Linked DNA regions of Pelodiscus sinensis. The protein of the gene in region 3 interacts with the protein of the main gene of each other region in a biochemical or structural test. Links are inferred from orthologs where the notes say so. Each region holds a gene or a part of one and is shown on either strand. Other genes may lie near its edges.

Region 1 (10,302 bases), on a different chromosome or scaffold from region 3:
CCTGGTAGCAATATGGGGTTTTTTGTACCATAAGGGTCTGTTCTTCACAAGTGCTAATACCAGTAATTCTCAGCTAATCTAGTGAGAATGGCAGATGCTCATACTGCTGTAGTACTAACTACGAGATAGTTTTGTTATGTGCTGTGTGAATTTATTCATAGGACTGCCAATGCACTTCAGTGCTGACCAGAAATACTACCCCTTTGAGTAAAGACTGATAGTGCTAAATTGTATAGTGGTTGTATGCTGTGGGCAAATATGTAATAGGGACTTCAGATATGTCCTCAAAACAAACAACCGATCCTCAGAAATTGAAGTAGTGCAATATTGATTAGGGATGAAAAATCACGTTTAATTAGTTAACTGGTTAAACATTGTTCAACTGGTTAACCACTTATACGGGGGCGCATAGGGGGCCACTGCAGCGGACACAAACCCCAGTTCTAGACTTTTTGAAATAACACTACTGTAATCTGTCTCCTACTTTCATTTCCCATGAAAATACCAATAATGCAGCATGCTGTGAGTACAATAGGGTGTACTCGGTGTTGGAGGAATTACGCAATTAAAAGGGTATTTAAGCTAAAGATGCTTTCAAAAGCAAATAACCTTCCTGATGGTGTTAATGACCGATGAATTTATTAAAACTGAAAACTTAACTCAAATTTAAACATACTCCTGTTTTGCAGATACAATAGAATTGTGCATGAGAATCAGAAAAAGACTAGAAATAAAAGGACTAGCCTGGTTTTTTTGCTCATAAAAATATGCAAAATTGAAAACCACAAATAGTAAATTAAAGTGTTGAGGAGAAATATGGGGATGGTAAGTTCCTTCCAACCATATTTTTTCCCCAGCCAGCAGAGGTGTTCTCTCATTCAACTAATCAAAACAAAAACTGTTTTAATTAAAATCTTTAAAACAATCATGAATACACCCCTTTAATATTAGAAACATATTAATGTGAAACATCAAAATACCAACATATTTTTTTTGGCTTAAGCAACCTTACTGTCTTGTTTAAATTAAGTTGCATTCCCTTCGTTGCTAGTCTTTTTAGCCTAAGAGTATCTTGAGTACCTGATCTAGTATTATGCTACTAGAGATAATGAAATATTATTGTGTTTCTAATGGATACATTTAATGTTTAATTTTGAATACGTAACTGAAATATGAAAATGTTCATATACCTAAGTCATTTTTGATAAACTGGTGTGCAATTTTTCATTTTGTCTATCATTATTTATTTTCTAAGTGTTTTGTCCAGTTACTTCTGTAGTTGAATTTATTATACATGACTGGTAAAATATAATGTCTATATTGAAAAGTAAAAATTTATACTGTACATTTAAATTTTGAGGAACAGCGGGTAAATGAGAGTAAGTTTACTTGTTAAAGTAAATAGATGTATTTTTTGTAAAAAGCACGTTCTGGTTTTGTCAGATCAAAACTTTTAACTGGTCAATAAAAAATAATTTTGTTTTAAATAACATACTTAATAGTGCTCTCTGGCTTTATTTTAACATTCACCATTATAGAAATGTCATCTACTTTACCATGTAGTCTTTCAGAAGAATGTCAAATTGATTTTTCTGTAATCCATGCTAAAAGTGTAGTTGTCACTCTTTAGCGGTGGGACCACATATAGATGGCTTGACTCTACTTCCATGATGAGACCTGATTTTTTAAATTGTATTTATTTTAAGTTCCAGTCTTTGAATATGAAATCAAGCCTCCAGTAGTCCCAGGTTCAATATCCGATTCCCTAAACAAGGGTGGTGTTGGTGCTTTCACAGTTCAAGGCAACTGCATCTGATTTTCCCCCTCTATGAATCTAGCAAAGGGTACCTGTTCTAAGATCCCAGCTAGCTCCTCAGCTTATCAGGGCTTTCTTCCTCCTGACCAGGTTATTTCCAGGCTGCACAGTTCATTGCCTGTACTGTGAATTATCCAGCAAGTCAGACTGCCTAAACAATCCTGTTTTTTTGCTTTTCTCATCTAGAACTGTAAACAGTGTATGTACCACAATTAAGTTACCACACAGCTCTTTCTAAGCAAACATGTTTATTCTTAAGGTAAAAGAATTACAGGAAAAAACCATAGGGTTTTTATTGTTTTATGTACACTAAACTTACTAGAGATCACACCCCATCTCCCAAAAGGTCTCTGGTCTTAAGTCCTTTCAACACTTTCCTGAGAAATGAGGCCCTCTGGTTGGATAGAATGTCCTGTTAGCTGGATCAGAACGATGGTCCCATATTAATTTTGGATAGAATGTCCTGTTAGCTGGATCAGAACGATGGTCCCATATTAATTTAACTCAAACTACTTACGTTCTCGCATTTTGGGGGAGGAAGGTGTCCTGGAGAGTCCAGTTTGCACAAGTAAAGGCAAGACTCTTCCAGAGAGCTAGCACTGACAGTGTTACAACAGAAATGAATTTGCCTAGCCCAACCCCACTCCACCCTTCAACACCTCTTAATTCCTGGAGGACAGTGATCTCCCATCCTACATTGAATTGCATATGTTCCTTAGGCTACCACTGATGCATAAAATTAATGTTTATCCAGAGTATCACAGGAAACTCCCCAATCTATTATAGGTACATTTGGTTATCCTGTCTATAACTACTATACCGCAAACAGACCTGATCCAACCCAGGAATGAAAATGTAAGATCCCAATGTCCAGCATTCCACTGCTGTCCCCCAAAAGCTTGTGTAACCTAAGGGCAATGTGCTATGCCTCCCTATAAGGCAGGGCTACTCAACTTTGGAAGCCCTGAAGCCACAATGATACAGTGCATGCTGAGGGCTGCAACTTAAGTGTGGTTGCATATACATGCAAATAGCTTTTCACACTGATGGGCATGAATACAAAGATTGTTTTAAGCCGTAGCGCCGGACACAAACGTGGCCAGTTTGAGCCAGTCTGCACCTCTCAGGCTCTGCCCACAAGGCTGAGCGGCTAACCCTTCCCACAATGCCCTGGCACTCCCACACCACCTTCGGGGGTGGGGGGGAGTGAGGAGGAAGGGAGCTAGAAATGCTGATGCCCTGTACCCATCTGTTTCAGCCAGCCCATCCATCTGCATCTTTCAATGCTCACACCTCCTGGGAGATACCTTGCCCTTGTGGAAGTCGTTCCCAGTGTAGGCCATGTTCAAAGGATCCCACCTGCGGGCTGTATGCTGTGCATAAACCCAAACCCCACCATGGGCCGCAAATGAATGGGCTGTGGGCCACATGTTGAATAGCCGTGGTGAAAGGGGTGGTCTACATGAAGGATACCAGTATGCTTCATCTCCCTGCCCACAAATACCAGTATCACCACGAGTGCTGAAGTGGAATAGGTCTCTGCTGTGCACTGAAATATAACTGTCATGGGGTGGGAAAATATACATAGAACCAGGGCTTGCCAAGCTGCGGTGAGCCCTGCTCGCCAGCCACGCTGTCCGGCATTCTGTGCATGTGCAGATCACCCAGACCCAGCTCTTCCAGGTTGTAATCATCTTGCCACGGGCAAGTAGATCACATAGATTGTCGAGCCCTGCATATAATTCTAGTTTAAGAGCCCTGAAGCACTTGTTACACTATTTTGCAATGTGAAATCATTGTTTGGATGTGCTAATACAGTGTTTCTCAACCTTCTTTTTATAAAGTACCCCCTTTAAAAAAAAAAAAATTAGAAGTACCCCCCGTACCGACAGTTTTCAGACGCAATGGTAGAAAAAAGTGACTTTTTTAAACAACTTAATTGTAGCTGGGTGAGCAATGAAATTTTTGGCTGTAAAAATTACAAAAATAACAGCACTGTAAAACTTAAAACAAAAATTCAGTTCTCTAGATGTTATTGTTGAAGTACCCCCAGACGTCTCTCAAGTACCCCTAAGGGTACTCATACCACTGGTTGAGAAACACTGTGCTAATAAACTTTGCTATATTTTTACAAATGTTTAGTTTAGCAAAATGCATAGAAGACTTTCCCTCTTTACCCAAACAGAAGATTTCTTGCTGTTCAAGTGCCAAAAAAGACAGAATGTTAAGTTTATTTAACTTGCTTTTGTAGAAAACAATTGTCATTTTTCAAGGTGTAACTTTGCCTCTATCAGGTTGGGTATCTCAGAGCATTACTATTTGAGCTATAAAGCTGTGCCTCTCAACCTCTCCAGACTACTGTAACCCTTTGAGGAGTCTGATCTGTCTTGCTTACTCCCAAGTTACACATCACTTAAAAACTTCTTACAAAATCAGTCATAATTTAAAAGTGTCATAGCATACTATTGCTGAAAAATTGCTTAATATAAAATAGTATTGTCCCTATTTTACAAAGAGGTAGAGGGGTACAGCACCAAATCTCAACTTTATTTCTGGAATGCCAGTTCAGTTTCCAAAATTTTGTTAAGCTCCCTTATCACAGCATGTAGCTAATTAATTACCACACAATATGTGGCTTTATCTGATACACACCCCATCCAGTGCAATAGATTTTCTTCTCCGCATTCTTACATAAAACAATCTGCCCCTTTGCCAAGACACACTATAAAATCCTGGGGTAGCCAGGCATCTGTGGCCCCACAAAGTTGAGACACCTTGTCGACCTCCTCCTGGCCCTAGTGAAAGCTGACATGTACCACACCAGGAGAAGGATGCTGAACAAAGGGGTGTTCTGTGACTGTGGGGCCTATTTCTGCTTCTTCCTACACTCACATCGGGGCAGAGTTCTTCTGGGCAGTGTCCAGTTGCTCCCTGGATAGCTTCAAGGAGCAGTGGGTGCTGTCTAAGGTTCTCTGCTTGGTGTCTCCATCTGGCTCCGTTGTTTTGAACCTATGACCTGCACTCCTGATCCCTTTATTCATTGTTTGTCCCCCATAATCAATGGAATCCTGGGTCCAGTGGACCTTCCTGCAAGGCTCGGAGAGGGGCTTTTAGAAGTGAACTGGGCTTGTGCCTGCCCACGTCCTTGGATTCAAATAGTGACTCAGAAGAGGGAATGGCTGCTGCTCTGCCTATTTATACCCCCCTTCTGTTCTTGTCACCACCAGTTGGAGCTCTCCCTGCCTTCCCCTTCCCTAACACAAAGTGGATGCTGGGCTCTGGTCAGGACTGTTGACTATGCTGTTAAAAGACTAGTCAGTAGCAAGATGGGGCTAAGGTGGGCTGAAGCTACTGGTATGTTTCAGCTTTCCCCTGGCATATGTGGGGCTGGGAGGCAAGGAAGCTGTGTGCCCCGTCTCCCTGAGTACTGGCTCTGCAGCTGCCATTGGCTGGGAATCACCACTATGGGAGTTCCAGGCAGCAACCTTAGATAAGTGCCCCCTGCAACCCACCAGCATCGCAGCCCCACTAGGCTGGGAGGGGGGTGGAATGGGGGGCGGGGCAAAGGGAACAGAGCGTGCTATTAGAGAGTTGCCATGGCAACCCTACAGCCCTACCCAGCCCTGGCTGTGGGCTCCGCGGGCGCTGCCCAGCAGGTGGCGCTGCATCCTTGCAAGTCCCCCCCCCCCCCGGGAAGTGTCAGCGCGCGCATGCGTGGTTCGTGCGGGCGAGCCGTGGTGCGCGGGAAAGAGGAACCCGGCCGGCGGCACCCGCCTCCTTTGCCCCGCGCGCGCCTGCCTCAGGTAACCGGCAACCGAAGGCTCGGGGCGGGGAGGGGGGAGCGCCGGGGGCGGTGACCCCGCTGTAACCGCGGTGCGCCCCCCAGTATTGGAGGGTGATGGGGGGGTGACGCTGGGGACGCGGCGCTGGGCTTTGGTGAGAAGCAGCTACAGGGTCGCTGCGGCTTCCTCCCCCCTGCCCCAGGGGCGCGCTGCTGCCGGGCCGGTGTTTTCTGGGGGGCGGGGGCGCTGGAGCATTTTGAAAGGGGGGGGGGTTGGTTTGCGGGTGTATCCGCTCCGCCCCCCTCTGCCTGTGTCGCTCCGGGGGGATTCGCCCTTTTAACCGCGGGTTTGTGCGTGTGACGCTCCTGCGCCCTGTCGGCAGCGCGGTGGCGATGTGCAGAGCCGGAAGAGAGCCGCTGGGTCAGCGAACATTGCTCCCTTGTTGCTGAGGCCTCTCTTGTTCAAACGCTTCCGAGGGGTAGCCAGGCTGGAACAGCAACAACTGAAAAAGCAACAGATAGGCTGGTAGCACTTTATAGACTAACAAAACATGGAGATGGGATCGTGAGCTTTCGTGGGCACAGCCCACTTCTTCAGATGGCCACAATGCTGGCCATCCACGACAGTCGCTCTCTGAGTTACGCCCACCTCCACTTTTACGACCATCCGCACTTAGGACCAAAGCAGTCGGAAATGCGGATCCGAGTTCCGAACGGCGATCCATGCTTACGAACAGCGCCGTCGCCATGTAACACTATGGGATCCAAGTTGTGAACACTTCGAGTTACGGACCAAGTGTTGGTGCGTAACTTGTTCATAACTCGGGGAGCGGCTGTACTCCGCTCATCTGAAGAAGTGGGCTGTGCCCACGAAAGCTCATGATACCATCTACATGTTTTGTTAGTCTATAAAGTGCTACCAGACTATTTTTTTAGCATCTTTTGTGTGACTAGTAAGCAGCTCTTCTCTTTTCTTAGGAGGAAGAATTTCTGTTCTGATCCATCTCAAGTCCCACTTTTCCTAGGTTCATCTCTCTTCCCTCTCCAGCATGCTAAATCTTTTCTCTTCATTTTACCTTAACTTTCATGGTCCATGAGGTCTGCTGCACTGAACAGTGAATTCCTCTTTTACCCATCTCTCCCTGCTTGCTGTGTTTCTAGCATTATTCTTGCTGCACTTGCTGACTCAAAAACCAGCCTATGCAATTATTTTTGCTGCAGTCAAAGCAGGCAGTGGAGGGATCAGAGCAACATGAAGAATGCAACCACTTTGAGATCTGGGGATCGGAAAACATTTATGTCCAAAGAAATGTACCTAAACACTGCTCCAGCACAACTCTGTCATCATAATAAGATTTCCAGTCATGGAGTTGAGAGCTATGGCTTATTCTCTGAAAAGGTTATTGCTCTTGCAGAAAATGTCAGTTATCATAAACTAGGGGTGAGCAATAATTTTTGATGTGGTGGGGCCACTCCAAAATGTTGGTAAGTGGTCAAGGGCCACACTTTTCTATGGAGGGGATGGGAGGTCTGAGATGGAGGATGGGTGCAGAATGGAGCTTGAGGTAGAGAATTTGGGTGCAGGAGAGGTTATTAGGGGGTGTTTGGGTGAAGGACAGGGTTCACAGTGCACAGAGCTTCCCCCTTCCTCCTGACCACAGAGAGGCTGTGTCTAAACTGCAGGGTTTTTTCGAAAAAAAGTAGCCTTTTTTCGAAAAAAACTTCACCTGCATCTAGACTACAGCCTCGTTCTTTCAAAATTACATTGAAAGAACACGGCTTTTCTTTCAATGGTGGCACTCCTCATTTCACGAGGAATAACGCCTTTTTTCAAAAGTGCTCTTGCAAAAAAAGGCGCTGTGTAATGCAAACTGTGCTTTTTCGAAAGAGAGCATCCAGACTGATTGTAGTCTAGATGCTCTTTTTTGAAAGAAACTTGCAGTCTAGACATAGCCAGAGAGAGATGGAACAGCTAGCCCTCTGAGCTCTGGGGCTGCTCCCTGCCTGTGGATCGAGTGGGACATGCCACAGGGCAGACTGAGACACTGGGCCCCTTGCTTTCACATCTGTCCAAGTGGGTTGTGCCCACGAAAGCTCATGATATTTATATATTTTGTTAGTCTCTAAGGTGCTACAGGACCAATGTTGTTGTTTTTTTCCCTTTTTTTTAGTTACAGACTAATACTGCTACCCCTCCGAGACTTTTAGTAATCTTTTGTAATTTACTGTAATGTTTTTCTTAAAATTTCTCTGTTTGTTATTAACTTTGACTATAATTCTTGTAAAAATAAATGCAAAATATCTGATATCTGCCATGTTTTCCTTTAAAAAGAATGAAGGTCATCACTTGTGAAATAGCATGGCACAACAAAGAGCCGGTGTATAGCTTAGACTTCCAACATGGAACTGAAGGGAAAATCAATCGACTGGCCTCAGCAGGAGTAGACACTGCTGTTCGTGTGAGTTCCAAATTTCGCTGATTTTAGTGTGAGCAGAATATCTAACAAGACATTTAATTTTACTTAAAAATCTCACATTCTTCCAGTTTCCTACTGCCCCACAAGTGAGTGACTCAGATAAAAGGTTATGAGAAAGTGGGCCATGAGTTTTGTCAACTTGAGTTTAATTTTCTGAATAATAATGCTTCTTAATTTCATCAAGTTTGGGTAAGATTTTTGAAATATCTGCATTCCTTCTGCCTCCTTGCAAAATATATAAATAACGGAACTGAAGAAAATGGTGCACAAGATTAAAAATTAATCAATTTTCAGGTATATAGCAGGCAATTTACTATATGTAATTCTTTTATAACTAGATATGGAAAGTGGAAAAAGGACCAGATGGGAAAGCAATTGTGGAATTCTTATCAAATCTAGCTCGCCATACGAAAGCAGTGAATGTTGTGCGTTTCTCTCCCAATGGTGAGGTTTTAGCATCAGGAGGAGACGGTGAGTAACAAAAAACAATATAAAAAAGATAGATGAAAGTCATGTAAAAAGAGCACAGAACATTTCCGATTTGGGGTTTGTATGATCCATTAACTTCCCAATCATGGTGATATATGAGTGTTTCACATACCCTGGTGAATTTATTGGTTGAGCCTCCTTTGAGATACAAAATATTTTCTCTGTTTTACAGATATGAAAGAATTGTTCCTATTTTACAATTGGCGTATTGAGCAGCTCTCCCAATATCATAAACATAAAGGGACTCTGGCAGAGTTTGGAAATTACATACATCTCCAGAGTCACAGACCAGTGTTTATTCTAAGGACAAAGGGACTGGTTAGCTCTCTTGTGTTTGACAGGAATGTGTAACATTTTGGGGAAAGATTTCCAAAGGCACAAAGGGCAATTATATACCCTCTGAAAGTCTTTTGGAAGTTGGGAACCTGACTTTCACTTGGACCTTTGGAAATTTCCTTCTTAATCAACAGTTAAAAAGTCCAGGAGAGCAACATAAAGCAAAACTAACTTATACATTTGTCTCCTGTTTCTACATAATAAAGGTAACGGGGATAAAAACATTTCTAGGTCAGTCCCCTAAAACAAATCTCCAAGACTAGTCTAAATATTTTTGCTGGTTGATTTTCAGATTACATGTAACATAATAGCACAATAAGACCAATATAATAATTCATTATAAACAAAGCCCAAACATTTCTTATCAACAAGTCATATTATTCCACAGACGCTGTGATTTTATTGTGGAAATTGAATGATAACAAAGAACCAGAGCCAATAGCATTTCAAGATGAAGATGAAGCTCAGCTGAACAAAGAAAATTGGACAGTATTTAAAACATTAAGGTAATTTAATTGGGTTTTTGGAGAGTTTTCTTCATTCCATGATGCTCTTTGTCTGGAATGGCTTTCCACTCAACTTATGCAAATCTCTTACCGGGGGCCCTCCCCCCCCCCCCGAAAACTCACTTGCTTCAAAGTGTATTCCTGTTATTCATTCTAATTACTGTTCTCATTTAGTATCTGTCACTAGCAGTGTTCTGTACCAGTCTGTTTCTCCAGTTTTCTCTAGCAAAGTTCTCTGCACCTACTTATTTACTTCAAAAGCTCTGTTTTTGTACACGAGGAAATGTTAAGTAAACAGACATTTTTATTACTGAATTTATAATTAATATAATTTAATCATGAATATTAAACAAAGGGCCAAAAGATAAAACAAATCACGTCTGTTTGCTAAGTAAAACGAGAGCAATCAGTCCTTGCCACATTTTTTAAACTAGTGTTTAGAGAGTTGTTGAAAAGTTTTATTCCAGCTGACTGGCAATATTACTTTCAAATTACAATAATTAAAAAAAACTATGAAAAGCGACAATTATATTATATGTAATACAAAATAGCCTTTATTTCACATTGTACATGATACTCATTAAAATGTATGTGTACTCACAGTTAAAATAGTTAATTTAATTGAAACGAGTGGTTGTTTCAGTCCAGTTCCTAGTAGGCAAGACATCAGATCACCACTATCACAGTGAGAACTGAATGGCATCCTGTTGTCACTCTCTGTGGAGAAGCAAAGAAATGAAAGGCTATGGAAACCTAATTAACCTTTTGTTCCTTCATGGGACAATATGTGGAATGCTATCCTCTGTTTGAGCAGCATCTGTGGATAAAATGAGCACTTTGGTTTTTCTGTGTGATTATTATATTCATTAGTAATTCACACTCCTTTAAAAAAATAAA
Region 2 (10,339 bases), on a different chromosome or scaffold from region 3:
AAGTATTCTTGTGCAAGAGGGCCAGTGCAGATAGCAACATAATTTCTTGCGCAAGAAAGCCAGATGGCTAAAATGGCCATCGGAGCTTTCTTGTGCAAGAGAGCGTCTACACTGGCACGGATGCTTTTGCGCAAAGGCACATGCCAGTATAGACGTTCTCTTGCGCAAATACTTTTAACGGAAAAACTTTTCTGTTAAAAGTATTTGCGCAAAATCATGCCAGTCTAGATGCAGCCTTATTTTCCAGTAGCACCCAAAAGGCCTAAGCTTGATCAGTGCCTCAGTGGGCAGAGCAATGTACAAAGAGGGAGAGAGAGTTTCTACCTTAGCTCGCAACTTCAAGCACCTAAACAGAGCAAGGTTGGAGTGTGGAGTTATAATGTACGAGCAAGTGACTACTGGAATGAATGGCGTAGTGTGGTACTGGTGAAGCATTCTACTGAGGGCCAGTGTTGGGATGAAGCGCAGGGAGAGGGTGTCTAAGTGATGTGCAAGCTATGTCCAGGTTAGATAATTTTATTAGAAACATTCCCATAAGAGTGACCTAATTCAGCTTCCCTGGTGGGAATTCTGGTTAAAGTTCCTTCCCGTTAGAGCATTGAGAGTTTCACAGACAGTGAGCAGCACGCTGAATGGCACTTATGTGCGTTTCGGAGGCAGTGTAGAGCCGGAGGCATGGATATCGTCAGTGCTTTGTTTGTTTAAAAAAAAAAAAAAGGAAGTGCCAGTACTAGGGCTGCCAGATGGTTTTGTTGAGCCAAAAAACCCAAAAAAACCCAAAACAAAACACTCCGGGGAAAATTTGTCGGGGGGGGGGGGGGGGGAGCGCATGGGAGGTCGGGGCTGAAATGCGGCAGCCCCTTTAATTGCCATGTCCCGAGTGGGGCCGGTGCATACCATCACAAAACAAGCACTAGGTGTCGTATGCAATTATCCATCCACCCTACCTAAAATGGGTCAGGCCTCATACTATACTCGCTGATGCTTTCAAGAGATCTGCGAGAGAGCCCCCAAGTCGAGTGTGCTGCTGTAGACCAGTCTGGAGTTGTCAGCTGCATCAGAGAAGGATACAAAAGGCGGGGAAAAGATGGTTGTATCCCAGTTGTGTGAGGTGCTGCACAAATGCACAGAAAATGACAATCCCTTGACCTAAGGTTTCATCTTGCCCCCATCTAGCGGACAAGATATAGCTGATGAGATGAACAAGCAGGTGTAGGGACGGGAGCCAAGGGAACGTAGGGCCACATGAAGAGGATGTGTGCAATCCTTAGTCAATTAGGGACGACCCTGCGATACCCAAAGCCTGAGCTAACTGCCCAGGTTTCCATATTGAGGGTGAGCCACAAGCATGTGTGTTAGGCAGGGAGCTGCCTAAGCTAAGGATGTTAAGGAGTAGTTGACTAGTCGATATCTCCCCCTGCCCCCCCCCCCCAGCTTGCTGCTTCTATGAAATAGAGGCAGCAAAGCAGGGGGGAATAGGGGGTACCTCAAAGCGGCAGCACCGCACAGAACCTGTACCTGGGCTTCGTGTGCGCTGCCACTTTGAAATGCCCTGGTAGCACCACACAGCTCAGCCCAGGCTCAGTGCATTTCAGATGTGCATTTCATCTCAGTGCATAACCTGCTGGGGCTCTTGTACATTTCAAAGGAGGAATGCGGAAGTGTCAATCAACTAGTAAATTACTCAGTATTTAACATCCTTTGCCTAAGCCAGCCAATAGATGCAGAGCAAGAGGGGACGTGCTAAGCCTTGTCCCGACTCAGAAATAGGCGCTAAGTCTGGGCAGCCGGATGGCATTTATCTCTGCTAATGAGCCCTCAGGCAGGGGAAGTCTGTGGCTAGGCCCTCAGCCAGAGTGTAGGAAACCCCTTCCTTCCGAGGCAGAGAAGGAATCTGAAGAGGGTTTTGCTGCCTCTCAGGTGAGTGCTCTGACCACTTGATCATGGAGTATTCTGATGTGAGGCTTCCTCAATCCCTCCTATTGCAGATGTTCCCCTCTCATGAAAACCAGAATAATTAAATATTAATTGGGGCTGAGAAAAACTTGGAACAACTTAACCGCCAAGCAATTAGAGCCCTCAGTGGAGAGGGGCCGCAGCCTGTTCAAATTCCTTCTCTCTCGCAGGAGGGGGGGTTTGGACCAGGGGTCGCAAGGTGAGTGCACTAGGCTAAAGGTTAGAATGAGCTCCTCTCTCTCATTTTGTGTGGGCGCGTCTGGGGGCCCGGATCCAGTAGGTCACTTCTGGGTACACCTACCAGAGTGGGACCCTGCCTACGACGTGAATGGCAAAATGTCCATCTTCCCTGCTTTGTGAGTTATGGGGGGGAGCCAGAGGAGATAACTGGGCAACTAGCAGGATGCAGGAGTGCACATGCCCAGAGCCAGACACATGAGCGCCTGGGCATCTTTTCCTGCAAAAACGGTGCTGAGGGAGAACAGGCACCTTCCAGGGCTAAGGCGACAGCCACGTAGGAGTTGAGTGGAGCCTAAGGGACTCAGGAGAGAGGTGAAAGTAAGGCGGTGCGCCGCTCGGGCAAGAGCTGACTGGGGGATGCTTTCCCAGGCCAGCTCCTGCAGGCTGGTGCCGGAGACCTGGCGTGCCCAGCCAGGTGAGGCAGGCAGGTGTGCAAGGGACTGGCTGGGATGCGCTGTAAGGGGGAGACACGCTTCCAGCCAAGCTACTGGTGCATCCACACCTGTCCTGCTGCCCCCCTCGCTGGATGCCAGGCAGCGCTTGTGCAGTCCGTGGCATGCACGGCTGCCAGCAGCCCCTGGGAAGAAGCCAGGGGAAGGGAAGTGGCAAGCTCACACTGCTGCTGGTATCCCTGGAGCCCCCACAGCTCCCTTGTGGCCATGCAGCAAACAGGAGCAGCAAGGCAGGGACCTGTCCCCCAGCCAGGTAAAGGTAACCAGGCAGCAGCCATCCCAGCCCCCCCTTTCTCCTACACATGCACCCCAGCTCCCTGTCTTGAGCCTCTCCCCCAGACTCCCAACCCCCGGCCCTGACTCCTGCACCTCCCCCCAACTACATCCGTGCCCTGAGTTCCTCTCATACCTAAATCCTGACTCCTACACCCTCAAGCCCCAACCCTCTCCCCCCGCACTCCACCCCATTCTTACATTTCTCACAGGTAGTTGCATCGCAACCCCCTCCCCCACTCTTTGCTCTGAGCCCTCCCAAGAGGGGCAGGTTGCCTTAGGACAGTATCTGTAAGAAATTTAAGTTACTTTCACCCCTGGGAGTCTAAGTATCTTTGTGGCTCATACCCAAAGAGCTAAGGACCCTTAGTATAGGACAAAAATGCAGCTTGTGGCATCTCTCACTCTTCCCCCAGGTATTTCACATGTTGAACAAGCGACTGAACCCTCCACAACTGAGGAAAAGCAGCATGTGGATCAAGAGCAATATTGAATTTCTTCAAAGGAATGAGCAAAACCATACTGAAGTGACACACCCATTCTGCTACGTGACTCAAGGCTGCTGGTATAACTAAATCGCTTCAGTAGCCTGAGTGTCTGACTGCTGTTTCCTGCCTCAAGGAGATGATCGACCATCAGAACTAATGGCTCTAAAGCCACATCCAGATCCACAGACATAAACCACTGCAGTTAAGACCCTGCTGGAGTTGACCTGCTTCTTGGATATAAGAGTTCCCAGATCTCCTTTCCATTTCTGTTCTCTCTTGTTGATTTGTAACTATACCAATGAAGTTTACTTATGTTATGAATGAAAATTCCAAATGTCACTAATCATCCTCTAAACTGTGGTGATAAGTTGTAATAATTTAGATGGCTTAAGAAACATGCACAACAGAAGTCAACTTTCAAAACAGTTTGCACAGGTCCCTGTCAGTGTTCATGTCCCCACGGTGCATCTCGGGGTGGGAGCTGAAATTTTGCTACTACTTCCTCAGATTGGATCTCCGGCTGTGAAATAGGTTAAAGCACAGGAAATGCAGTTTACGAGAAAAGGCAGACATTTTCAAAGTGATTTGCAAAGCAAGTGCCCAGCAGCCTCCTCTACTCCCCACCTTACCGTTTTTAACCTCTGTTAAACTAACCATTTTAAAATAAAATATTAGTTCTTTTCAGCACTGCAGGTTACTGCCTTTTCTTGTACATTCCAATGGAATCTATCATTCCCTTAGTCCTACTCTGTATCCTCAGATTTGCCAAACTGGCAGATTCCTGTTCGACTGTACGTTCTCTTTATTGCAATCAAGTAAATCTGACTTCAGTGGCTGACTCTCTTTTGACATGCAGCCATATTGTCTAGAACACCTTTACCATTGCACTGTAGTTTTGGAAGGCAAATATTTCATCCAAAATCCCAGCAACTTCCTTTCCTGTCCCTAATCCACGCCTGCCTCCACTTGGACAGGCATGGCCACTTCCTTTCTGAATAACCTTCCCCACCCCCAATTTGTTTGCTTTTCAGAAAGCTGATTCAGCCTTAAAGCAAAGTGAGTTGCAGTGCTGTTTAGCGTCACTTAATATTCTCTCTGGTGATGCCCCAGGGTTTGGAAGAAAAGGGAATAAGAACAAACTACAAGGTAGTCTGGCTACTGTGGGGGAGATTAAGTCCTTTTCATACTGGAGTTTAGCAAGAGGCAACTACAAGAGCAAACCCCTAGCTGTAAAAGTGCCAGGAAAGTCTGTGGTTAATTTTAAAGTCACTTAGTTTGCTTTGACTGCCCATCCTGCTGTTTATGTGCAATATCCATGTTTAATCAGGAGCTTGTTAAAAAGATTGAAGAAATGGCAAATCAGGGAAGAGGCATTCTTGTTTTCTCATGTCTTTTTCGCAATTCCTCAGAGGCACAATTGATTGGGAGGTTGGGGATGTTCTGCCTATAAACTCTTCCCTTCAGGCCCTGGAGTCAATCTCTGGGGAACAGGAGACTGTCTTTGCAAACAAGGTCCCCTGTTGCTCAGGAAGAGGGAGGAATTCCCTCTGGGTGGAGATGGGGAGGAATTTTCCCTTCATGCCACAGGGAGTTAAGCAGAAAGCAGGGAAAGTGGATTCGCACTGATCATTCTTATGCATCAACTCCGCTCCTCTGCGCCTGGTCTGTTACTCCTTGAAAGCACCCTCCTGGCTGGGGGAGCAAGACCGCCCAGGTTACCCCTGAGCAAAACGTCAGCCACCCACTTTGCCCCCTAGCAGCAGCCTTGCAGTTCATTGGAGGGTGAAACAACCTGGGTGGGTATAAATCTCCACCAATCCCCTCCCCGATGCACTAATCCAACTGTGCTGAACCCTGGCCCTCTGCACGTTCTACTTTCCCCGTGCACGCCCCCTCCCCAGGCACTAACCTCTCACCTCCAGGACGGAGCCCCTCCCCTCTACACTTGACCCCACTTCTCCTACCAGGTGCCCTGGCCCCCCATGCACAGTCCTCTCCCCTGGCACAAACCCCAACCCCACGCACTAGCCCCTCCCCGCGCTGACCTCCCCCCTCCCCATGCCCATTAGCCCCTCCCCTCCCCGCATTCACCTCCCCCACCCCAGACACTAGCCCCTCCCTACGTTGACCTCCCTTCCCCCCTCCCAGCACTGACCTCCCCTCCCCCCCCAGCCGTGCAAATCTCGCGAGAGAACACGCGCTTTCACTAGTGTGTCTTTGCACCAATCGATCCCTACCGGGCCGGGCCGAGTCGGACCAGGGGGCGGACCCGGCCGCCCCGACACCCGCCCCACCCCCCCATCGCCGACTACTCGGGCTGACCGTGCAGGGAGGGGGGTGCCCCGGATTCTCGTGCCCCCCCCCGCGGCTCGTCGGAGCCGCCCCCCCCCTTTTTCCCCGGGGCCTTTGTCCTCCGAGGCCGCCGCCGCCCCCTCCCCGCGCCTCGCGCCCCTTGCCCGGGCGGGGCGCCTACGCGAGGCCGGGGATCCGCGGCCTCCCCCGGCGCCGGCGAGGGGCTCGCCCCGCGTCCCCGCCTCGGAGCCGCCGAGCTCGCTGCCCGCGCCGGCGGGGCGCCTGGCTCAGGAGAGGCCGCGGAGCCGCCCCTGGCCTCCCCCTCCCGCCCGGGCGGCCGCAGCAGGTTCCCCCCGCCCTGCTGCTGCCCCCGGCGGCGGCGGGATCCGAGCGGGGCCCGGGGAGCGGCCGGGCCGGGCCGGAGGGGAGAGGAGCGGCGGGGGAGCAGCGCCAGGTGAGAGCCGCGGGGGGGGGGGGCGGTTGCTAGGGGGCTGGGGGGGGCGCGGCCCCGCCCTGGGGGTCCTGGCCCCGCTGCCGGGGGGGGGACGCGCCAGGCCACGGGGCGGGCCGGGCTCGGCCTGCGGATCCCCGGCCTGGCAGTGGAGGCGATGGCTGCCTCGGGTGAGGGGGAGGCCGGGGCCGCAGCTGGGACTGGGGGGAGGGGGGGGCTACATCCCTCCGTGTGGAAACATCGTGCCCGGTGTGGGGCAATTCCCCCGCCCCCGGGGTGCGGCCTGTCAGCAGGTCTGCCCCAGGGCGCCCCCCACCCCCGGGGGGCAGGGACACCCCCGCGTGTGTCCGCCTCAGCCCCCCTGCAGGGCTGGGACCCCTGTCCCCAGGCCGCGCCACGCTGGTGGGGGAGGCTCTGCCTGCTGGTGGGGCGCCCCTGCCGCCCCTCCATCGCTGCGCTCCTTGCCAAGGGAGAGCACTGACAGCTTTGTTAAATGGAGACCAGAGGGTTGTATTAATCCGGTGGCTCGGTGTGTTAGGGCTTTTATGGCCTCTTCAGGGTGTGAATGCCCCCAAATGGACTCGCTCAGCACCTTGGAGATGAGAGGAAATGAGATTGGGGGGACAAAATGGACAGTCAATAAAAGGAACAATTATATGGTGGCTTTTCTAGAGGGCACTTGCTGCCCTTCAGGAACTTTCCATGTAGCATATGATCTTTATACAGCAAATCTGTATTCTCTCATTTTTTTTTTTCCTGCCATGATCTCTTTCGGAGAAATGAAACTGGAACAGATATTTCTGGAACTTATGAACTTGCTCCGAATGCAGTTAAGAAGATGTGAATCACAGTTTTAATAAACTCTGCAATTCCTCACTTTTTTTCAATTAACACTGAAATTGTACGTTTCAAGAATTAAACCAGATGACTCAAGGATGCCTTTAAAAAAAAAAAAAGCGTTTCATACAATGGTGCCAGTTTTAATGGATCACTTGGAAGTACCCAGAAGCATCCAACTATATGGGAGAAACTTGTGTGTTTGAGTATTTGGTACATTGTTTAGTAAAAGGAGAAGTTTAAAAAAGCATCATTCTCCATCTCATCCTTTTCCTGAAGAGCCTAGGCTTTGTCTCTGAAGTTGTCACAAAAGCCCTAGTAGCTGTAGGGCATTTGGAGTTATCCAGTGCTTCAGTGAATGGCAAAAACAGAGAATAGTGGGGGTATGAAGGATGTTTGAGAGTTTCTGACTAGTGTAGGGCTAAAGACTTCAGCTATAGCGCCCTCCCCTTCTGTTTTGTCTGCAAGAAATTTAACAAAATACTCAATGGGAAGACGGTGGAATCAGAGGGTTAGCAATAGGACTGAGGTTCCAGTTAAGAAATTTCCAATAAGTGGTAATTCTGTCAGATGATGGAGCTCTCTAGAATAGGCCCTGGTTAAAATAGTAACATTTTGGTGGCAAGTCACATTTTACTACATGATCATTTTGAATCTATATTGCATGACAGAAATTATTTGTATACAGTCACTTGTTACTACAGCTATTTTTGAGCATCATCAATGCCAGAGAAAATACATTCTTTCCCTTTTCCTTGCATTGACTAATATAGCATATTTTTCTCCCATAGCAGCAGAAATGATGGAAGAGTTGCATAGCCTGGACCCCCGACGCCAGGAACTGCTGGAAGCCAGGTTCACTGGAGTAGGTGTTGCCAAAGTAAGTAAAAGTGCCTGTGAGAGCAGGCACAAATACCTTGCACACCATTTTTTTTTTAACAGAGAAGTAGTGCTGTTTCAATAAGGGGAAATTGTTCATTGGTAATTTTGCTTTGTCCACTAACTTATTTTAAAGTGTGTGTAAAGAAGAATATACAATACTGAAAATAACGAGTTTGCCTCTGTGTACATAGACATCATGGTGTGTGTGAGAGTTTGAAGGCTTGCTCTTTTTTTTTTTTTTTTTTTTTCCTAGTATAAAAAAGCCATGCACCACACACATGTTTTGGAAGAGGGAGGATAGGCCATCTTTTTCCTATCTCAAAGGGTTTGTCTAGGAAACAGATGAGTAGCTTATTTGTTCTTCTTTGAGAACAACTGAAATTGTACAAGCTTAGCCTAATTTGTTGAGCCCTGGATATAACTATCTACTCGCCTGTGGTGAGTAGATTTTAGCCCAGCGGGGCCGCGCAGCGCGGTTAGCGTATGCCCTTCCGTGTGGCTGGCAAGCCCTGGTCATATCAATCAAAACTTACTTATTCAAGGGTAAGCTTGTGTATAATTAGGTTTGCAACCTGCTAGCAAAATCATAGAATCATAGAGCTGGAAGAGACCTCAGGAGTAGGGATGTTAAATTGTGGTTATCTGACTAATCATGTGGTCGATACAATTTGTTTCGACTACACGATTAGTTGATAAGGACCACTCTGCAGAGCAGCAGCGAGGGTACCTCCGGGAGCTGACTCGAGCATTTTAAATGTAGTAAGAGCCCAGTTGGTCTTACTACATTTAAAATACAGAGGTACAGTGTCCTGGACCAGTGCGAGCCAGGACCGAGCAGTCCTGGCTTGCGCTGAGTCCAGCAGCCCCGGTTTGTGGCGGCTAGAGGCTGCTTTGGCACCAGCCCCTGTTCACGGTGAACAGGGCTGGCTGCCAGAGCAGCCTCTGCGCACAGCCAACTCGGGCCACCGCGAACAGGGGCTGCTTGGTGGTCCAGCTCCCTAATGGGGCCCCTGTGGATAGAGCAGCTTCCCCTCCCCCCCCCCTCTCCGCTGCATGTGATAGAGGGGGCAGGCAGCACCATGGAGGGAGCCATGCCGCGGGGAACCAGTTTTTAAGCCTCTCCTAGAGGCAGCAAGGCAGGAGATGAAGTGAGTAGTTGATACTCTAGTCAACTATTCACTAACATCCCTACTCAGGAGGTCATCGAGTCCAGCCCCCAAATCCTACCCTTCTCTTAATATATGACTTTGTACCTGGATAACAGTTGCATTTCTTGAGTAAGGCATTCAGTAATAAGCTATGTCATTTCCGTCCTTTTGTTTAAAATTCCAGGATTGGATTTGATCTGTTTCTGTGTGTACTGTTATAGTGCCTATAATAGTGTGTCTTCATTTTTCTCACCATTCTAGTTCTCAAATAATGGTGGAACAGTGATAACATTCCAGTTTGCATACTTGAAAGTCACTGAGTTTCAAGCCATATCAAGCTAGAAAGGAAATATAATTAGATAACTTGTTGCTATAAAAAATGCAGCCACCTGTTGGAATCATATTGGGCAGAGGAAACTAATTTACCTTTCTGTGATGAAAAGTACAAAATAAATACATCAAATTTTGGAAAGGTTATATCCAAGTTCATACTTTGTTTCTGACCTACTTTGTGCTTCAGTTGTATTATGAAGCCCTGGAAGTAGATCAGTAAGTAAACAGTTTGCAACTTAAAGGAAGCTGAGACCTGGTCCAAAACTGAAAAGTTTTAGTGTTAAAACTTTTGGTTAGGTATGCTATTTTTTAAACTTATATGGTAATATAGGTAAAAACTCTAATGGGGTGCAGTTTTTTGGGGATGAAGATGACTTACATTAGTATAGTTATTCCTGTTTTAGTATGGGGTGAGCTATACTGATATAATTGTGCTCGTTCTTTTGAGTAGTGGTGGTAGTGTGTTGGACCTCTTTAACTATAGAAGTATAGTTAAAGCAGTACACAGTTCTAATGCAGACATGCCCCTGGATTGTTGGCTTCTTGAGGGCAGGACCCTCGTCTGTCTATATTATACAGTGCCTAAATATTAACACTGAGGTGAATGTTAACTTTAGGAAGCCACTTCTTATAAAGAAATAACTTTAAGCAGATCTAAGCATGCAAAACTTAATGTTACACAATTGGGAGAAAAATGCTCTTCCACTATTAAAGTTAATGAAAATTACCTTGCTAATTCTCATGCCATTGAACCATAAATTGCTGATCCACCTAAAGAGAACAACAGTTTCTCGTTTCCTAGAGCACACAGGAGAGGACTGTATAGTAGTAAATTTGTCTAGTGTAAAATATGGCATTGTTAGTTTAAAACTATTATGTTTCTTAAAATAGAGAACATCTTGTGGTATAGCTGGTTTATTTATCTTCATACTCTTACTTGTTAATTTGCAATGGATCTCCCATCCACTCATGAAAATTACCAAGGTC
Region 3 (10,122 bases):
TCCAAAATTGAGTAGCCCCACTCTACAGTCTACCTAGGCTGCTTGGCCTGCTGGTCTAGTCAGAGCTCTGTATTAATTTAACTGGAATATAGGGACCCACATAACCGAGTCTCTATCACACATGAAATAAGGTTGGGGGCTGGTATCCAGGGACTTCAGCAAACACCCCATTAAAAATCCTTCAAATCGTAGTGTTAAAATAAAGAGAAACCAGCGACTGCATCTGAGCTGTAAGTATTAAGCCAAGTTTCCATTTCCACGCCAGCCTTGGGTGCCTTTCCCTGGTGAGAGTCTCTTATTGGAAACTCCCTTGTTTGACTGTCTCAGACATAGTCATAAGTGGGCTATGGAGTGACACCGGGTCAGCCACAGGCTCTGGTAGGCTCAGGACTAGAACTGGTGGTTTCTGAGTCACACGCTGCCTTTGCCATCGCCCGTGTCGTGTGAGCCCCAATTGCATCCCAATATAAACATGACCCACCAGCTGCCACGTTCTAGATTGGGCTCCAGAATGGCGCCGTGTGTTCTAGAGCCACACTAAGCTGATGTGGGAAGCCACAATGCCAAAGCAGTGATGTGATCTAGATTCTAGAGTTTTGGGACCTCCCCCCCCCCCCATAGTCTAGATCAGAGTCACATGGTCTCTGGTGCTAGAACAAGAGTCAAAAAGGTCACTGGGCTCTAGAGCAGGTTCCCTAAATGCTGCAGCGTCTGGATCACTGGTCCAAGAAGTGTAAGTGTCCTAGAGCAAGGGACCAGCACTGGCAGCCCGCAGTGTCTCTGCGTGGAGGGGAGCCGCGCTCACTGTGGACAGGGCTCAGAGACAGAGCCGGGGCCCACCTCTCCAGGAGAGGGGGATTGTTTCCTTCTGTTTTCATTTGTCTCCTTCGCCTCTTTCTTTCCCACTTCCTGCGGGGAGGCATGTTCCAGACTCTGTACTCCAGGGCTCCAGGCTCTGGGACACTGGGCCAGCCCCTTGACACGCCACCCAGCGCCCCCCACTCTCACCCATTCCACTGTGCTCCAAACAGCCAGGGAAATGACCTAGGATTTAATAGCTTCCCATGTGGACAAACTCCAAGCTGATCAATGCCAGACATGCTGGCTCCTTCCCTGCCGGGCAGTCCTGCGGCTACTTCCCGCACACTGGGCTGGAGCAGCTGGGGCTGGACATAGGAGGCTGGCGGGGAAGCAGGGGGGACCTGTGGGGACCAGCCCCTGGGGCCTGGAGCTCAGGGGAGGGAGGCTAATTCTCTGAGTAGCACTGGCAGAGCCGGGGGTGGGGAGCCCAGGGCAGGGCTGTGTTAGGGGCTCTGGAAAGTACCCTTGTAAATGTGCCCTGGATATTGGCTGGGAGTGAGGCCATGAAGCCAGAGCCCAGCGAAATGGCTCCGGGTCCCACTGGGCTTTTGGGATCAGTGTGTGTGTAGGGGGGTGGGGGTCTGGCTCTGGCTCCAAGGGCTGTTGGCCCTGAAGGGGCTGGCATGTGTTGTCTCCGGGGGGAGGAGGGAACAAGCAGCCGCAGCCTCCCAGACTCCACTACCTGCAATTAACGGCCTTGTCTTCATTAGACACAGTTACATGGTAATTATCATGAAGCCACCTCCTGCTGAGCATCCCTTGTGCCCCCCAAACCTGCCCGCTCTCTGTCATGGCCTGGGGCACTGCTGGGAGGAACAAAGGGGGTTGTGGGTCAGGACTGAGGGGCACTGGAAGAGCTGGGGGGAGGGAAGCAGGGGGCTGTGGGTCAGGACTGAGGGGCACTGGAAGAGCTGGGGGGAGGGGAGCAGGGGGTTGTGGGTCAGGACTGAGGGGCACTGGAAGAGCTGGGGGGAGGGGAGCAGGGGGCTGTGGGTCAGGACTGAGGGGCACTGGAAGAGCTGGGGGGAGGGGAGCAGGGGGCTGTGGGTCAGGACTGAGGGGCACTGGAAGAGCTGGGGGGAGGGGAGCAGGGGGTTGTGGGTCAGGACTGAGGGGCACTGGAAGAGCTGGGGGGAGGGAAGCAGGGGGCTGTGGGTCAGGACTGAGGGGCACTGGAAGAGCTGGGGGGAGGGAAGCAGGCGGCTGTGGGTCGGGACCGACCAGCACTGGCAGAGCTGGTGGGAGGGGAGCAGCGGGCTGCAGCAGGCCGTTGGTGGGGGGCTACTCCCCAACACCAGTTGCCTGTTCACATCCCTGCTGGTGGCAGAGTTCACGTTGGGCCTGGACTGTGACGAATTCAAAGGGGCTTCTCCCTAGAGGCTGCAGGTCACAGCCTGACCCTTGGGGGTCAATGGGCTCCCCGTCTGTGCTGCCCCATGTCCCTGCTAGCAGTGCCCTATGTATCAGCCTAGTCATAGATGGACCTTCTGTCCCAGGGTCCCAATCAGCCCGGCCATGCCCTGACACGTCAGCAATCGCTGCCCCCATCAGATCCCAGGCCAGGGACCCGCCTCAGAACCCCCTGATAACCTGGCAGGAACTAGAGAAACCCACAGACCGAGCCAGAGAGCAGAGGGATGGGCAGCGTCAAGTGTGGGAGACCGGTACTTGGGGGAATGCTGAAAGCGAGGGGGGAAGAGTGGGCGGGGGGGGGGGGGGCTTGTCATGTGTGGAGGTGGATGGAGGAAGGAGGGAGGGATGGCTGAGTGGGGAGGCAAAAGAGGGAGGGATGGGTCTGGGGGTGATGAGTGTGGGTTGAGTGGGGGATTTGGGCGCAGAGGTGGATGGAGGGAGGATGGGGAGTGGGGGTGATGGAGTGGGAGGGCAGGTGTGGGGGGACACAGGGATGCAGAGTGTGCCACATGTGGAGGTGGATGGAGGAGGGAGGATGAGACAGTGAGGGGTGCTAGAGCGGGTGGGCAGGGGTAGGGCTGTGGGGGGACACAGGGGTACAGTGTGCCACATGTGGAGGTGGATGGAGGAGGGAGGATGAGGCAGTGGGGGGGTGCTAGAGCGGGTGGGCAGGGGTAGAGCTGTGGGGGGACACAGGGGTACAGTGTGCCACATGTGGAGGTGGATGGAGGAGGGAGGATGAGGCAGTGGGGGGGTGCTAGAGCGGGTGGGCAGGGGTAGAGCTGTGGGGGGACACAGGGGTACAGTGTGCCACATGTGGAGGTGGATGGAGGAGGGAGGATGAGGCAGTGGGGGGGTGCTAGAGCGGGTGGGCAGGGGTAGGGCTGTGGGGGGACACAGGGGTACAGTGTGCCACATGTGGAGGTGGATGGAGGAGGGGAGACGGGGGTGTGAAATGTCAGTGATTCCCCTCTCCCAGCTCTGGGGATGAATGTCCCACCCCCCTCGCCCCTGGCAATGGCTCTCCGCTTCCACTTTGCCTCCCCTACCTCCACTCACTGCCCCACACCTGGACCCTGCTGGCGCCTGCCCCACTGGGCTCTCAGCTGGATGGTGAGGCGAAGGCGCCACCTGCCAGCCATGGGGGGAATGGCACCGGCGGCCATGTCACTGGTGGGGGGATGTCGGGAAGGGGCGGGGTGAGTGCAGTGAGAGTGAATGGTGGGAGCCCTGGGCTCCCCCCAGCTCTGCCGGTGCCCCTCACTCTTGATCACAGCCCTGTTGGCCCATTCAGGGCTCCTCCCACCCAGCTCTGCTCCTCCAAAAACAAAAAGTGCCATCACAGTGTATCTGAGCTCTCCCTTCTGCATCCAACCTGCCATGCCAGGCATCTGGGGCATGGGGGTGGGGAGCGCGCCAGGCCCAGGGCTGGGAGCTCCTGCTTTCAGCAGAACGAGACGAACTGGCAGGGCTGACAAGCTGTCAGGTGCACGGAGGATCCCTGGCTGCAACTCCGGCTCCCCCAGCCGGCCGGGGCCAAAGGGGAGCTGGGGAGGGAGCCTGGTGATGGATCCAATCGATCGCGGCTGCTCCGGGGCTGCTCACTCCGACAGCTCGGTGCGGGGAGACACGCTGAGCCCACCCCCTTGTCTCGCATGGCTGCCGGGCGCCTGCCTGTCAGTGGTATGATGAGCCCCTCCCCTTGTTCCATCTGGTTTGGATAGTGGCCTCCTCAGGGAAGGGCGCGGGAGTTTGGCCTGGTCTAGGTTGGAGAGCCTGCACACTGCTACCAGACAATCTGCCCCCATCTATACCCCTCTCTCCATCTCCCACCCCATCTCTCCTTCTCCCCCACTTCATTCCTGCATCCACACCCCTCTCCCATCCCCTCACCCACTCCATGCTTCCCTCTTCAGTCACACAGCAACTCTGTGCAGGATAGCTCACCCAGTGCTGAAATGCAGCTATGTCTGGGGAGAGGCACAGCAGACGTGTAGCAGCCTGCACAGCGGTAGCGACATATGGGACTGGGCTTAGCAGCAACACAGCAGACCAGGCGAGCAGGGAATCCAGCCCAATCTGCAGGAGGGGCAATTGAGGGAGGCAGACTGAAGTGGGGGGTAAATGCTGTGAGTCAGGAGGGGGCACTCTGCTCTCTACTCTCCCCAATCCCTGCACCACAACTCTGTCTAGCACCACACTGGGGCCAGCACCGACCCGTCAGGAACAGTACCTCTTGCTGCGCCCCTACTCTGCCCCCTGCCCTACAGCACCCCCTGCTGAGCCCCCGCCCTGCTCCCTGCCCCACAGCGCCCCCTGCTGAGCCCCCGCCCTTCTCCCTGCCCCACAGCACCCCCTGCTGAGCCCCGCCCTGCTCCCTGCCCTACAACACCCCCTGCTGAGCTCCCACCCTGCTCCCTGCCCCACAGCGCCCCCTGTTGAGCCCCTGCCCTGCCCACAGCGCCCCCTGCTGAGCCCCTGCCCTGCTCCCTGCCCACAGCGCCCCCTGTTGAGCCCCAGCCCTGCTCCCTGCCCTACAGTGCTCCCTGCTGAGCCCCTGCCCTGCTCCCTGCCCCACAGCACCCCCTGCTGAGCCCCCGCCCTTCTCCCTGCCCCACAGCGCCCCCTGCTGAGCCCCGCCCTGCTCCCTTCTCCACAGCGCCCCCTGCTGAACCCCCGCCCTTCTCCCTGCCCTATAGCACCCCCTGCTGAGCCCCGCCCTGCTCCCTGCCCCACAGCGCCCCCTGCTGAACCCCCGCCCTGCTCCCTGCCCCACAGCGCCCCCTGCTGAGCTCCCGTCCTGCTCCCTGCCCCACAGCGCCCCCTGCTGAACCCCCGCCCTGCTCCCTGCCCCACAGCGCCCCCTGCTGAACCCCCGCCCTGCTCCCTGCCCCACAGCACCCCCTGCTGAACCCCCGCCCTGCTCCCTGCCCCACAGCGCCCCCTGTTGAGCCCCTCTCGTGGATCCCACCCACCGGCGCAGGAAAGTAACGCCCGCTCCTGCATGGCCCTGTAGAGTCCAGGCCCCGCCCCCTACAGTCCTACCAATCCAGGCTCCTCCTCTGATTACCCAGCGTCTCCCCCCTCCTCCCGGCTAGTGAGTGGCCGTCTTTGTCCCAAAAACTGTCGCCCACGCTGATTGGTGGGGAGGAAAGTGGGTCGGGTGCGGATTGGCTGCATCCGGCTCCCGCCAGGGCAGGAGCGGGGAAAGCCGATTGGCGTATGTGGGGAAGGGCGTGGCGACTGGCAGGAAGTGGGCGGGCCGGGTGGGGGATTGGTTCCCGGCGCGAAGTGCGAGGATTGGCGGGGGCGTAGCAAGGCGCAGGCGAGGATTGGCGCAGGCCGGCGGGCGGCGCGCGCTGATTGGCCGGCGGCGCGCGCGGCAGGGACAAGGGCCGGCGCGGGCGGCGCGGGGCGGCGGCTTTTGTGGCGCGCGGCGGGTTCGGGTCCCGCTCCCGCCGGCGGCATGTCCCGCGTGTCCGTGCTGGGCGTGTCGGTGCTGGAGAACCCGAGCCCGTTCGGCCGCCCGCTCCGCTTCCAGGTGCAGTTCGAGTGCGGGGAGGCGCTGCCGCACGGTGAGTTCGGGCCCCCTCCCCCCGCGCGCTGGGGAGGGGGTCTCCCCTCTGGCGGGGGGGGGCTTCATGGGCGGGGCTATTCCCCCCCCGGGGGTCGGACTCCAGGGCGCCTGGCAGCGGGGTCCAGGCCGTGCCCGCTGGTCCCTACGCCTGGCCAGGAGCCGGGACGCCTGGGGTCTCTGCCACTGACGTGCTGTGGCCCTGGTCACGTCCCTTCCGGGCTCTAACATGGAGGGAGCTGATTGCCTCACCGTCCCGGGGCTGCGAAGTGCAGGGAGCCTGGACCCTGCCACACACACGCCGGGTGTTTTAAAAAGGCTGCTGGGTTGGCCCCTCTGCCAGGGAGGGTGGCCAGATGCTCTGTCTTGGGCAGGCTCCTCTTCCCCACCCTCCATCTCTTGGCCTGATTGTTCACTCTGGTCGCCTTGTTGTCAGGCCCTCAGAGGCTGAGAGCGCCGTGTGAATTTAAACGCATCGTAATGTCCCCATTGTAAATGCCTGCACAGGCGAAGAGTCTGGAGCTAGATGTGGCCATTTGGGAGAACTGGGCATGAGGAGAAAGCCAGGTGCCTTTTAAGGATGCCCCCATGTTCTACATCTGATCTGGAGATCTTCTCAGCATGCTGCAGAGAGCTCTTTGGTGTTGAAATAACCTAGCTGAGCTAGCCTGATTAACCCTGCTCGTATAACCGTGCCCCTTACCAGTAGGGACAGGACTCGTACCTGGCTGCCGGGGGAATTCTGCTTGCAAACTTCTGCTTGCTTGTTGCCAGTTATGGAATGATTAGAAGAGGTGCTGCTGATGGGGGAGAATCAGGTGTGCCCAGCATTTCTGAAAGCAGGCTATTCATAGCTTAGTTTGGTGGCCAGAGTATCCTTCTGGTCTGGATACTTCAAGGGGCAAAATATCTGCCTTTTGTTGATTAATGGAGTCCAGACTAATTTGGGCCAATGTTCCTGGGTTGAATATTTGCCACTGATAAACATGTGAACGGGACACTACTTAACATGGTGGCTCTGAAAGGTGGCTGTTGGTTTGTAGTTCTTTGTGTGCCCTCCCCCAGTAACATTTCCCATCCAAAAGACTCTTTTGAGGCATCTCTTGGGAGGCTGGTTTCTCTTCTCGAAGAAAGGAGCCCAGGGTTCGAAGAGAATCTTTCTGGGGGGTGTTGGGATAATGTGAATGTGAGATGTCAAATCCCAGAGCGACATTGTCATGCAAGCGTACCTTGCAAAGCCCTCTATGGCCTAAACTGTGAGCCTCTTCACTTCAGGGGGTATCAGAGCTGTGGAGTGGTGGCAGCCAAATCTCTCCACTGTCTTTGAGGCTAAAAAATTGGCATGTCTCACTGGCTTTACAGTTTGAAAATTAGCTGTCTGCAGAGTCTGAGCACAGCCCTGCTGAGCCAAGGGGACAGGAGCTTTGACAGCTGTTGGACTCCCTGTCCTCTTTAAAGCTTCAGGGGGTAGCAGACCATTTGTTGTTTTTTAAGTTCATCCTCTTTGAGGCCATCATCCAGGTTGTGGGAGAGGAGGGGAGGGGGGGGATGCGTGCGCACACAGCACCACCACCTACATAGCCTGCCTTACTCAGCAGGGTTTTTTGGGGGGGTACAGGGGTGCCCCACAGGATTTTTTCCCAAATAGGACGCACCATGCTGTGCTGGGAAACCTGTCTGCAGAATCTCACCAGTGCAGGGAGGGGCGAGTGTTGGTCCTCCATCTGACTGAAATTCCTTGCTCTTAAGGGCTTATGTGGGATTGTCCCCCACTATTCCCTATTCTAGGAGCTCTAGCCCCATTCCCGGGGTTTGAGAGTATATGCAGCTGTTTGCTCCTTGAGGAAGGCTTCCCTGCATGAGGAACCTACTCTAGTCTGTTATGTAATGTAATCTATGGCTGGCACATCCCCCTTTCTTGTAAATTTATAGAGCATCTGTGTGAAAAGCTGTTTCTGATTTGTTATGAGAATGTCCCCTTAATCCAAACCCCCTCTGCTGCGTGACATCACTTTGCCTGGTAAAAGCTACCCTGACCCAGTCTAGGGATATAAGTGACTAGTCGAGTAGTTCAGGGGATCTCAAACTTGTGATACCGTGACATCCCCCCCGAGTTGCTCGTGACCCCCCGGGGGGGTCAGGTCCCACAGTTTGAAAAATGCTGGAGTAGTTGATTACCTGATAAGCCTAGGGTTATTGGGTAGTCGAGTCACTACTCTACTAGTTGCTTCCCCCCCCCAGCTGCCTCTGTATCAGAGGCAGCGGGGGGGGGGGGGGGGGCAGGAGCCAGTGCTGAGAGAGCTGGTTTCCCCTCCTCCAGCTGGCTTTTTCCGCAGGGAGGCAGATGCCAACGTTGGGGACCTAGTTCGTTCCCTAGCGGCTCTTACTACATTTAAAAAGCAGAGCCACAGTGAACCCCATTCTCGACTAATCGAGTAGTTGATTCTGTCGACTACTCGATTAGGGATGTTAAATAGTGGTTAGTAAGCTAATCCAGTCTCCTAGAAAGTACATGCATGTTACATGGAACACTTCCCTCTGGTGTGGAAGTGGAAATGCCACTCTCCCCTCCCCCCAATACACACACACACACACACACACACACACACACACACACACACACACACACACACACACACACACACACACACACACACACCCCTAATCCTTCGAGCTTTGTCTGTGCTTGGGGGCATAGGCCTGGCATTGGCTCAGACTTAGACATGTCTGAGTGTGTCTTTTGCCAAAGCTCAGCACCCACCCAAACCTAAGAGGCTCAGAGTTGAAACTCCTCCCTTTGAACGGACAGTTTGGCAGCCCTGGTACCTGTATTGGAAGGAGCACTGACTATTAACCTGACTTAAAACCAGAGTAGGACTTGCTTGGAATGGAATTACGAGGTAACATGACAAAGGTCCCATTGTGTCAGGCACTGTACAAACAGCAAAAAGAAGGCCGCCTCAAAGAGAATCTGAGGAAAGTACTAGGCAGGGGACAGCAGATGGAACCAGGCAGACAGATGGGGGATTTCAACAAAACCATTCTGGCCTTAAACTGGTGCAGACAATGCTTAAGAGCCCTTGGGTCATAATCAGGAAATCTCTGGTGAGCTTTAAAGAGCAAAGTCTGCTCTAACAGCCTGGCACCCTTTCCACTGGGGCTGCACCCGTCAGGGACTCTGCTCTGGCCTATGGTCTCTCCACTTGCCAGACTCCTGTCTCTTGTTGGCTGGCCACAGGAGCTAACCTTCTGGGATCCCTATCCCTCAAACAAATGGCTTGGTAGCAGTATTCCCTGATGCCACGCAGGAGAGAGTCCAGTGCCACCCAGCTGACTAGCAGAGCACCCACAGCTGGGTTTTGTCTTTCTATTGGTGGTGCCCACCAGCACATGGACAGGAAAGATTAGAGGGAACACTGGTTGGTAGGAAGAAGGGAAGGAACTTACAGCTAAGTCAAATGGTCTTGTGTTTGCCTAAGACTCAGGACCAGAATCTGGTTCTGGGCTGTGCCACAGACTGTTGGGTCTAGGACGAGTCATTTAATCTTGCTGTGCCTTAGTTTCACCCTCTGTAAAAGGGGCATAATAATCCTTGTCTGCTTTATAGTGGTGTCTCTAGAGTGTCGAGGCAGTGCCCAGCACAGTGGGGTGGTGGCCTGTAAGTGAGACACTGATCACTAGGTCTGGATGGGGAACTGATGTGGAATGTAAGCGTCAGGGTCAGATGGTTGCATTGGTGTAAACCTTGCTCAGTTACCCTAACATGAGCCCAGAGCCCCAGCATTACTCAAGGGCTGCTCTGCGAGGGGTGGCTGCCCAGGCTCACTGTGCTCCCCTTCCCTTTCAGACCTGGAGTGGAAGATCATCTATGTGGGCTCTGCAGAAAGTGAGGAGTATGACCAGGTGCTGGACTCGGTGCTGGTGGGGCCTGTCCCAGCTGGGAGGCACATGTTCATCTTTGAGGTAAGAGACAGCTGTGGGAGGGGCTAGAGGGCCTTGTCTCCCGTAAGGAAAAGACTGAGCGAAATGCAGTCAAAGCAGCTGGAGACCCTTATTCTGTGGCAGCCCTTTTGGGCAGGGCTCAGAAACCTGGCCTGGGAGGCGGGGGTCTGGGCACCACCTCGTTATGTTGGTGAAGGTCTTCCGAGCATGGTATCTTCAGAGAGTAGTGGGAACCTGTGGGGATTGGGAAGCACACTTTTCCCCTAGTGTGTTCAGGGTTATTTTTTCCTTCCTCTTAACATGGCTCTTCTGTGGGCTCTTCTCCCAACTGA

The links.
Region 1: the proteins of ASF1B (region 3) and CHAF1B form a complex in vitro, tested with the Homo sapiens proteins (2 studies listed by BioGRID and IntAct). The link is inferred for Pelodiscus sinensis from reciprocal best matches to the Homo sapiens genes ASF1B and CHAF1B.
Region 2: of the proteins of ASF1B (region 3) and TLK2, one has a biochemical effect on the other in vitro, tested with the Homo sapiens proteins (3 studies listed by BioGRID). The link is inferred for Pelodiscus sinensis from reciprocal best matches to the Homo sapiens genes ASF1B and TLK2.

What each region holds. Positions count from the first base shown.
Region 1 is NC_134711.1:185,728,534-185,738,835, forward strand, and holds the start of CHAF1B (chromatin assembly factor 1 subunit B), read left to right. Parts: upstream 1-5,477; 5' UTR 5,478-5,619; intron 5,620-5,659; exon of another isoform or gene 5,660-5,752; intron 5,753-7,929; 5' UTR 7,930-7,930; coding exon 7,931-8,056; intron 8,057-8,412; coding exon 8,413-8,545; intron 8,546-9,287; coding exon 9,288-9,405; intron 9,406-10,302. UniProt on the Homo sapiens protein: Acts as a component of the histone chaperone complex chromatin assembly factor 1 (CAF-1), which assembles histone octamers onto DNA during replication and repair.
Region 2 is NC_134739.1:5,110,782-5,121,120, forward strand, and holds the start of TLK2 (serine/threonine-protein kinase tousled-like 2), read left to right. Parts: upstream 1-5,688; 5' UTR 5,689-6,155; intron 6,156-7,780; exon of another isoform or gene 7,781-7,783; 5' UTR 7,784-7,788; coding exon 7,789-7,869; intron 7,870-10,339. UniProt on the Homo sapiens protein: Serine/threonine-protein kinase involved in the process of chromatin assembly and probably also DNA replication, transcription, repair, and chromosome segregation. Phosphorylates the chromatin assembly factors ASF1A and ASF1B.
Region 3 is NC_134729.1:10,140,729-10,150,850, reverse strand, and holds the start of ASF1B (histone chaperone ASF1B), read left to right. Parts: upstream 1-5,654; 5' UTR 5,655-5,740; coding exon 5,741-5,849; intron 5,850-9,695; coding exon 9,696-9,811; intron 9,812-10,122. UniProt on the Homo sapiens protein: Histone chaperone that facilitates histone deposition and histone exchange and removal during nucleosome assembly and disassembly. Cooperates with chromatin assembly factor 1 (CAF-1) to promote replication-dependent chromatin assembly.